2 linked regions of the Oryzias latipes genome follow. The protein of the gene in region 1 interacts with the protein of each later gene in a pairwise test. Links are inferred from orthologs where the notes say so. Each region holds a gene or a part of one and is shown in the gene's direction. Other genes may lie near its edges.

Region 1 (4,411 bases):
TCGGGTAGGACCCGTGCTCTTGACTTGGTGAACGTTCACCTGATAGAAGAAGACATCCTTTCTGTCGGTTCCTTCAGTTGCAAACTCCTCCACGATTCCCTCAGGACTGATCCCATGCTCAGCACACAGCTGCTTCCAGAACTCGAACCCGACTGCAAAACGAAAACGGAGAATTAGTATTAGATTACATTCGTTTTTGACTAAACAGTTTCTAGTTTGAGAACACGCAGCTGTTCTGTGAATGACAGCTACTGTTACCTATACTATACTGTTTCTGGACACCATGTTAGCCGTTAGCTAGCCGGAATAGCATCATCACTGCGGTTATTTCCCACCAAAGAGATGTTCAGCTGAAAGGTCCAAGAACCATTTAAGAAGATTTAACCTAACTGTCTAGGTCGAATGGTGGAGAGTCGTCGAACAAAATATAAAGGAAACGGTTCAGAAACTTAACTTAAGGGTATGAAAAAAATGACCTACTTTGATTGCCACATTGTCCAAGCTGAAGAGTTATAATTTCCCGCGGCATGGTTAGTTGCTTTTTATTTTGCTAGCCTGTCTGCTAGCGAAATAATGAAAGCTAGCCCCCAGGTTACACCGATTTTCCCCTGACCAGCAGCGACAACAACAACCCGCTCGTTCCCGCTAACTGGCGTGCTGAATTCTTCTACGGATGTTCATGGGACAATGTTCACGCTCGGTGCTGCCCCCTAGTGTGTTGGAGTACAATACATTTTTTTTAAAGATGGTAATCTTCTCTTTCGAATTTGTTCTTTAAAAACAATTTATACCATTTTGGTTATAATCTTTTTGGGGCCATGCATTTTTTCCGGTTTGATTTTTCTCGTCAAATCGATAAGCACGTTATATTTTGTGCCACAAAGTGACCACAAGTTTAATTAATTCAAACAAAGTTTAGTAAACCCATATAGGCACTAAGTTTTTTAACAGTATTTTACAATATTTTTTCATTGACATGATATGTGTTTCTTGACCAAGCAAACCTTACTACTACCATCAATAGTAATAATAAATCGTCATAGGTTTTTGGTCCAACAAAACAGCATAGACAGATACACAAATTAGTTTCAGTAATCTTTTTTGACATGCATAAACATACATAAGTATAAAGAGGCTTATTTTACAAGGATTGAGGAAAAAAAATATGTCATATAAGAAGAGATTAAAAACAAACCCAATGAATCGTTTATTCCAGAGTTTTAATGAATTGTAGAAAGTCCCATATACATTTGTAGCAAGTCTGCTCTGCTTATCATAAAAGTAATTAAAAAAAGACAAGTATAAATGATTGTAATAAGAAAAAATATATATATATTTTTTTAAATAAATGAGCTTTACAGTTCATTTAAACATACGAAAATATGCTTGAGGTTTTGCCCCAGCCTGGGAAGTTAGTCTGCACTTTTGTACCTGAACGCACTGTGACGCAACTGCTTTCCTGAAATCTGATTGGATCAATCGACGCTGGGAATAGATACGCCATGTTGACATTTTCCGAAGCGACCACAAAATGTATTTTAGATATATATTTTATAATTAGTGTCAGGTTTCTCTGAAACTTTATTTTTAGACCTTGTATAATGTTGTTTTTAACGCTGTAAGAGAAATGTTGTAACATTAACATCAGTGCGGAGTTGTGGTCGCTCACTGTTAGCACTGATAGCCGTTAGCTTGTGTTCTTCTGTCACCGGCGGAGCCCCTCATCAAGCTGTTTACCGGTTTCCACTCAGCTTAATTCTCTCTTTTACAGACTGACAGTGTTCCACAGCAGACACAGTTTGATGGCGTACTCTGGAGCGATGGAAAGCGCCCCTATGGACGATCGTCCCGCGTCTCAGAGTTCAAGCAATTGCCTTCGAAGTCGACCATTCTCCAGCGAAAGAGACGCCCGAGTTCGGGTCGTGAAAGCAGAACTTCAGTCCAAACTGGGGCCCTACGAGCCCGTTCTGACCTACCTGCAGTCTCTCCTGGTGTGGGAGAGACCACTTCACAGCGCCCTGTTCTTTCTTGCTGTAAACACGGCGTTCTGGTGAGTTTGACAAATAAATACACTTTTTTAGAAATTTGTTTGTGATCATTTTCCTGTAAGATAAACTTTAAAACAGGTGAAAATGACAGCAAAGCAAGTAGATGACAGTAAAAGTGTTGCAATTGTCAGTAAAACATCAAACAGGTGGTTCAATAGCTCCAAAACTTGTTTGATTTGAGATATTAGTCCAGTATTTTTCACAAAGGATGTGTTTTGCAACAGACAGGCTTGAGAACTGTAACCTAGACTCTATTCTGTTGAAATATGGATGTTGTGAATTGCTAACTTAAAAATCAAAAGGTTAAATCCAAGATTTGAGCAGTAGCTTAACATTTTAAATGTCAAATATCAGGGTTAAAGTGTGCAGATCTGGCACAAGTTTGGGGTCTGTTAGTGTTCATTCTTGTTTAATCAGAAATCTCTGGAAAAATCTTGTTTATGAACACGTTTTTGACACATCATTTCTATTATTTTTGTTTTTTATCATGTACTCCATACTAAATATATCTTCGACCACGTTGAAAATGAATCTCTTAAATGATGAGTGTTTGGATTCTACATTGGAATAATAAAAGTAACCATGTTTCTTTAAAAACAAAAAGGGGTTTCCTTCCCAAAAAATATGCTCAAAAAACAACAAAAGGCTAATAGTTGTTGACCAGAAACGTCTTAATGGGATTAATCTGAGGATTGGCAGAATCCTGCAGCATTGTTGTTGCCAACAATTCTGTGAAAACCTGAGATCTGAAATTAGAGCAACAGAGACTCGTGTTTAGATCCCAGGCAGTCTTACTCAGCCAAAAACAAAGAGCAGTTTTTTCTGTTTTGTAGCTTAACAACTAGTTCTTTCAGTGGTTTTGTCGTTGATTCAAAACTTTATTTATGGGAAACCCCTCCTAACCAATGATCACTCCTTTTTTTTTTTTTTTACCATTAATTGAATTGTGCGCTTTTTTTTTCTTCTTTAAATTTGATTTAATTCTTTGCATAGTCTTAAGGAAACAGGCAGCTAAAGCGCTGTTATTTGCATGCTTCCGGTTCCAGGTTTTTTGCCTTTACATCGATGCGTCTGCTGTTCATCCTGGCCTCTTCGCTTGCTGTCCTTGTGTCTTTTGACACCTGGAGGAATAAAATCTGGCCAAGGATTAGAGGTGTGTTTTTCTCTTCAAATTGTGGTTCTTTATATTCAGAATGTCCTTTTTTTATGCTTGTTAAAATCTATGTTTACTAAATGCGCGAGTGGAACATCAATCGGCAAACGATAAAGAAAGAAAATGACCAAACTACAGTTTGGGGAACTTTGGAATCTTTCTAATCCACGTGTCTTCATACCTCTCAGTTGTAACGCTTTGTTTCTTTGCTCTTTACAGTCAGAAAACTGGATGAATCTGAAAATGAAAGGTGTGTTTCTGTTATTTCTTCTGCAGCATTCATTGTTCGCTAAAGTGCTTCAGTCCAACATGTCTGTTTCCGCAGCTGGGCCTTGGTGCAGCCCGGCATCCTAAGTGTACCAGAGCTTTGCCATCACCTGGCAGAGGCCTGGGTCAGCGGATCAGTTCTCATGTGCTTCATGGTTCAATTCAAACAACGAAACCCTGGCAATGTAAGGATTACCGCCCAGCACCATGTATTTAATCCTCTTATTCATGTGAACTGCTTCAGTTGATCCACCTGCATTCCCTCAATGAATATTACATGGGTGACGTGCTGTGCAGGCAGTGACTTCTATCTCTGTGTTCTTCTCTGGAGCAGTTCTGCGTTCTGACCTGCGGGTTGTTCACCTGTTTGGCCGTGGTTGGGTGCTACATTTCTGGATTGGTACTGTCCTACGCTGCATGTGAGTCCGAGCAGTTTTACCGGTCCTAACTACCGGTCACGCCCTGCTGCTACACTGTTGGCAGGAAACTCATTTTATGCCAAATGAAAAATATATGAGTGAAACCAGATCTGTGGGGCCCCGACACAAGGTTTGGCCTACGAAGTGATTAAAACAGGGAGGAGGAAGAGGAGGAGGAGGAGGAGGAGGAGAGGACAGGAATCTAAAGAGGTCAGGCGGACAGCAGGTTAATCTCCTAACCTGGAGCTGGTGTTAGACTGCAGAGGGCGGGCCAGTCCACAGCTGTCCGCCTGTCTGTATTCTCAAACCCAACATGTTTGTAGATCTTCATTGATTTTATAGAAAAAACAAAAGCAAAACACTTAAATATCACCATAAGTGTCATGACTTTCCTCCTCCCTCGTTGGCAGTGTTGGTCATCCTCCTGGCTCCTCTGGCAGCATACCATCGAGTCTTTCAGCATGCGTGCATGAAGTTGGAGCCAGTCCTGCAGCGGCTGGATTTCAGCATCCATGGATACATGA
Region 2 (4,520 bases), on another chromosome or scaffold:
CAGTGGTTGAAAAGAAGCACCATTAAGGGGCCCCGTGATGAAGAACAATGTCTGGTTCCTCTTCTTTCTGTGCGCCTCTCTGGGATCTCATCTGGGATGAAGGATTTCATGGGAGGATGGTAGCCGCTGAGAGGGACCAGCACTGACACAAAGCATGTCCTCAGCGGTGTCTGCATCCATGCAAGCAAATGAACCATCGCCCCCACAATCCCATAACCCCACCCCCCATGTTAGGGTCTCTGAAGCTTGCCAGTATGTGTCTAGTTTAAGAGTAAGGAAGAAAAAAATTAAGAGAATTGTTTTTTCTTAATAAGTAAGCACTTGAAAAAAGTAATTAATGCAGATCACCAGCAATTAAATCAGGGGTCTCCGACATAAGGCTCCAGAGCCACGTGTGGCTCTTTTCTCTCCATAGTGGCTGAAGATAAATAGAATAATACAAAATTTTCAAAGCAAGGGTTACTAAATCAGCATCCAATTCAGATTTAGTTTATAAATTAATGCTGAGGTGCACCTCGAAGTAAAATAAAGGTTTTTGCATTCCTGCTAACATCTAGAGCCCGTGTTTGCTCTATACGCCGCCTCCGGAATACACAGATTTTCATTAGGAAACCTTTCGTAAAAAGTCTGATTACTCCGTTTATTTTATCAGTTGAAAACACACATCATCTAATGCTGCACAACATGGTTAGTAGCTATCCAGAGGGGAGTTGCTTTTCTCCTTGATCATAAACCAGCAAATTCCTGTTTATGTTCGGGTTAACAGCAGTATTAAGTAGGAAAAAGGATGGCGGCTCACCAGAGAACAAGAGAACCTGCCATTAGTGTCTTGTGTTGTCTAGGAGAACATGAGCTGCACTGGGATGATCCTGTTTGGCACAAGGCATCTAATTTTAACAGGACGTCATGCAACCTTCTGCCAAATTGTAAAAATCAAAATCTCAGGAAAATACTAGTTTCTCTTTATACAGTACAGACCAAAAGTTTTTTACACACCTTCTTATTCAAATGAATGGGAAGGTGTGTCCAAACTTGGGTCTGTACTGTATATATGACTTTTTCATGTCAAAAATGTCCCTGCTGGACACAATTTCACATTTGTTTTTAAAAGTCACAATTCAATGCCAGCAAATCAGCATTAAATTTTCCTGAAGGGTAAAAGTTAGGCTCCTTCTAGATTTTTTTACTTTTACTTTTTTTTTACTGTTTAAGGCTGAAGACCCCTGGTTTAAGTGGAATATCAGGCAGTAGCATTGAAGAAAAAGCTCCACATAAAGTGGAAAAAGTCAGATTATTTGAATTTGGCTTGAATCAAAGTGATGTGATGTGAGTGGTGGAGGGAGGGTTTAGTCCGCTAAACACAATAAGGAAACAAAGATAATACTTAGGATTTTATTTCAATGCTCTAAAGGTCAATAATTTGACAACTTTGAAAAAAGATAAAGGAAAGTAATGATTAATCTGATTGGAGCTGGAGTTACTGTATGTGTCACATTTTATGGGGATAGTTAACACCGTTGGGAGGAAAATCCTTTCAACACTTTAGGTCCTAATATCGTTCTTTTTTTTGTCTGAAAACAGAGGAGCCATTTGAAAAAGTGTGTCCCGTGTCCTCTTAAATACCCGAAACAGGAAAGTGTGTTTGTGTGTGCACGATTTTGTTGCTTGAGTAGGTGGTGCAAAAACAGTCAGTGTCTTGAGTTCTGCTGTAGTTCAAAGTACAAAAGGAGATCTTGATTTGGGAGTATTCATGCCACCACTTCCTTGTTCGTAAATCAGAGCAGCATTTCCTCCTTCCCAGTCCTTACAGTGCAAGAAAGTATAGGAAAGGAGGCAATTTCATCAACAGAGGCTTACAAGTCACGGGTCAACTCAGATAAGAACTAAAACGGTTGAGACAACCCTTTCCCAGGAATCAGTCGAACTCTTCGTGACGACTGTTCTGCTCAGAAAAACAGGAGTAAACGGAGCAACAGTAAAAAACAGAGGAAGCCTGTGGATTACACAGTAACTGGACAATGTCGCTCAGCAGCAGGGTTGTCCACAAAAGGAGGGAGACCATCACTGCTCTGCCTCTCTACTTTCAAGGGCGCATGCAGAAGAAACGCTCCAAAGATAAGGTAGGAGTAAAGACAAATGTGCTAATGTCAGTCTAGATAACAGATTATAGTTGTGAAATCCACCTATTGTTATGGCACATAAATTAAAGTACCTCAATTGTTGGCTTTGAGGCTCAAAAATAATCTTGACTATGTTGGATCCAGAGAGTCAGTAACTGTAAACTCAGATAAATCACAACCCTTGTCATTCTGTCTTTACCTATTGCCACAAAAAAAAAAAAACACCAAAGATACACACATCTACATCAATATCTTTCACATCAATAATTGTTCTCATTTTTGTTCTCAAACACTTTTTCAGTCTGATTAGTTTAGTTTAGTTTATAGAACAACTGCAAGAAAACTTAGTGTTCGGTTGTTCCGCTTTCCCTGTTTGCAGACATTATTGGCCTGTTAGTTGCTGAAACATTAACCTGAATCACAAGAGTTAGCTATCTGAGATAAAGTGACGTGTTTTTTTAACATGACAGTATGCATTATATATCAGAATTTTTATATACAGCTCAGAAAACAAAAAAATCACAAATGTTTTTGCTTGCAAGTAGATTCAGAGTTAAGGAATTTAGGATTTTAGGATATAGGATTTATATATATATATATATATATATATATATATATATATATATATATATATATATATATAGACAAAACATCAATGGAAGCTTAAAACTTGAAATAAAATATTTTCTTGTTTGTGGAAAAAAATGGATTCTGAATAGTTTGAAAATTTCCTTCTATAGTTAAAGTCATTTCAGCTGCACCTACAGTAGGTGTGTGGAATTTGTTCTGCGCATTTGCGCCATCCTCTGGGGGAGCGGTGAGCTGCAGACACAGCCGCTCTCAGGAGCCATTTGGTGGTTTAACCCTCCAATAATGCAGAGTGTCAAACAAGAAAACATTGAGTCTCCTTTTTAGTCTTTGGATTGACTCAGCCTCGACTGGAGTTCACATCCTTCCAGTCTCAGGGCGGACACTCTACCATAAGGCCAGAGCTGGCTGACAAAACGAAGATGCAATACATTTTTTCATGACAGAGACTTTACATCATTTGTAGTTAATTTAGTATTTATCTATGTTTGAGATCTGAGGACCCCTTGGTTCTTCTATCATGTGACATTTTTTAATCACCCTCACTGTTTAAAGGTCATCCACAGCAAGTTGAAATTGTTTTTGCAACTTTCAGGATTTCAAGCCCTACTATGTGGAGCTCAGAGGAGATTCTCTGTTTCTGTACACAGATGACACACAGGAATCAGTAAGAAAACACCCAGATTATTTAGCATTTCTGATCAGTAAACGGTAAAAAAAAAGATTTAATTAAGTGTAAAACTATAAAAAGCCTGATTAATAGCAAAAACATTTTCATGCTTGCGATTATCACAGTACACTGAAAAGATGGACCTGTCACAGCTGAAAACCATGCAGTTGGAGTCTTCCTACAAAAAGAAGGAGGAGACTGTCTTTATCCTCTCTCTGCCCAAAGAGGAGGTGCAGCTAAAGGTTTGTTGCAGTTACTGTGAAATATTTCATTGAACTTTAGGGTCAATTTTAAATAGCTTTTTTATTTATTTATTTTTTTTCCCCCATCACTTCTGTGTTTTTTTTTTCCATGCATACATCTGCAGATGGAGAATGCCGACACTGGGGAGGAGTGGAGGGGCTACATCTTGACCATGGCCAAAGTAACACATGCTCATATATATATATATCTACACATAAAGTTACATTTACTGCCAACAGTCCAAGTTCAAACTGGTTTAACTGCACATGTTTTGCATTTTTTGGTAATAAATGATTGACTATGAAATCAGAAGAAAAAAATGTGTTGGTTAAAGGTTAGATGATAGTTTGGCTCACAGTACTTCAAGAAAAGATACACTTAAAAACATACAAACTAGGGGAACTTCTACCTTGTAAAGGGGAATAGAAAGTGCTATTGAAAGCCAATAATTATTACAATAATCATGAAGGTTTCTAGAAACCCTTTGGTAGTTTTTTTTTCTGATAAAAAGGTGCTCCAGTCTCCCACAATACTGCTGTAATGTCTAGACAGTTTGCAGATGATCTGTGTTTGTGTGTTCCGGCAGAAAGAGCTTCCCAACAAGCTGGAACTGATGCCGGGTCAGAGAGTAAAACTGGAGGATGCTCTGAAACAAGAGAAAAAAAGAGTTTCACACCATTCTCGTCCAGCCCTCCCACCCCGACCATCTTTCCTGCAGTCTGAGTCCATGACCGATTCTCCTAAAAGCACAAAACCGGGAATGCCAGAGTAAGTTCAAGGACTTCCCGTCTGAACGGAAAACCAATAGAGAGGTAAACATCGGTTCCTTTAAACCTGCAGATGCTTCTATGATGTGACTCGAAAGGAGGCTGAGCAGATGCTGGAGGAGAACCCACAAA

Evidence for each region.
Region 2: the proteins of retreg3 (region 1) and signal-transducing adaptor protein 1 interact in binary tests that used the Homo sapiens proteins (3 or more experiments, as listed by UniProt). The two-hybrid records come from large-scale screens. The link is inferred for Oryzias latipes from reciprocal best matches to the Homo sapiens genes RETREG3 and STAP1.

What each region holds. Positions count from the first base shown.
Region 1 is NC_019866.2:6,743,368-6,747,778, forward strand, and holds the start of retreg3 (reticulophagy regulator 3), read left to right. Parts: upstream 1-1,451; 5' UTR 1,452-1,533; exon of another isoform or gene 1,534-1,771; 5' UTR 1,772-1,802; coding exon 1,803-2,050; intron 2,051-3,094; coding exon 3,095-3,201; intron 3,202-3,420; coding exon 3,421-3,451; intron 3,452-3,526; coding exon 3,527-3,653; intron 3,654-3,802; coding exon 3,803-3,887; intron 3,888-4,297; coding exon 4,298-4,411. Other genes in the region: tubg1 (tubulin gamma-1 chain), read right to left, coding at 40-152, 481-529. UniProt on the Homo sapiens protein: Endoplasmic reticulum (ER)-anchored autophagy regulator which exists in an inactive state under basal conditions but is activated following cellular stress.
Region 2 is NC_019868.2:13,892,248-13,896,767, forward strand, and holds the start of signal-transducing adaptor protein 1, read left to right. Parts: upstream 1-1,609; 5' UTR 1,610-2,018; coding exon 2,019-2,120; intron 2,121-3,303; coding exon 3,304-3,375; intron 3,376-3,503; coding exon 3,504-3,620; intron 3,621-3,745; coding exon 3,746-3,802; intron 3,803-4,207; coding exon 4,208-4,389; intron 4,390-4,461; coding exon 4,462-4,520. UniProt on the Homo sapiens protein: In BCR signaling, appears to function as a docking protein acting downstream of TEC and participates in a positive feedback loop by increasing the activity of TEC.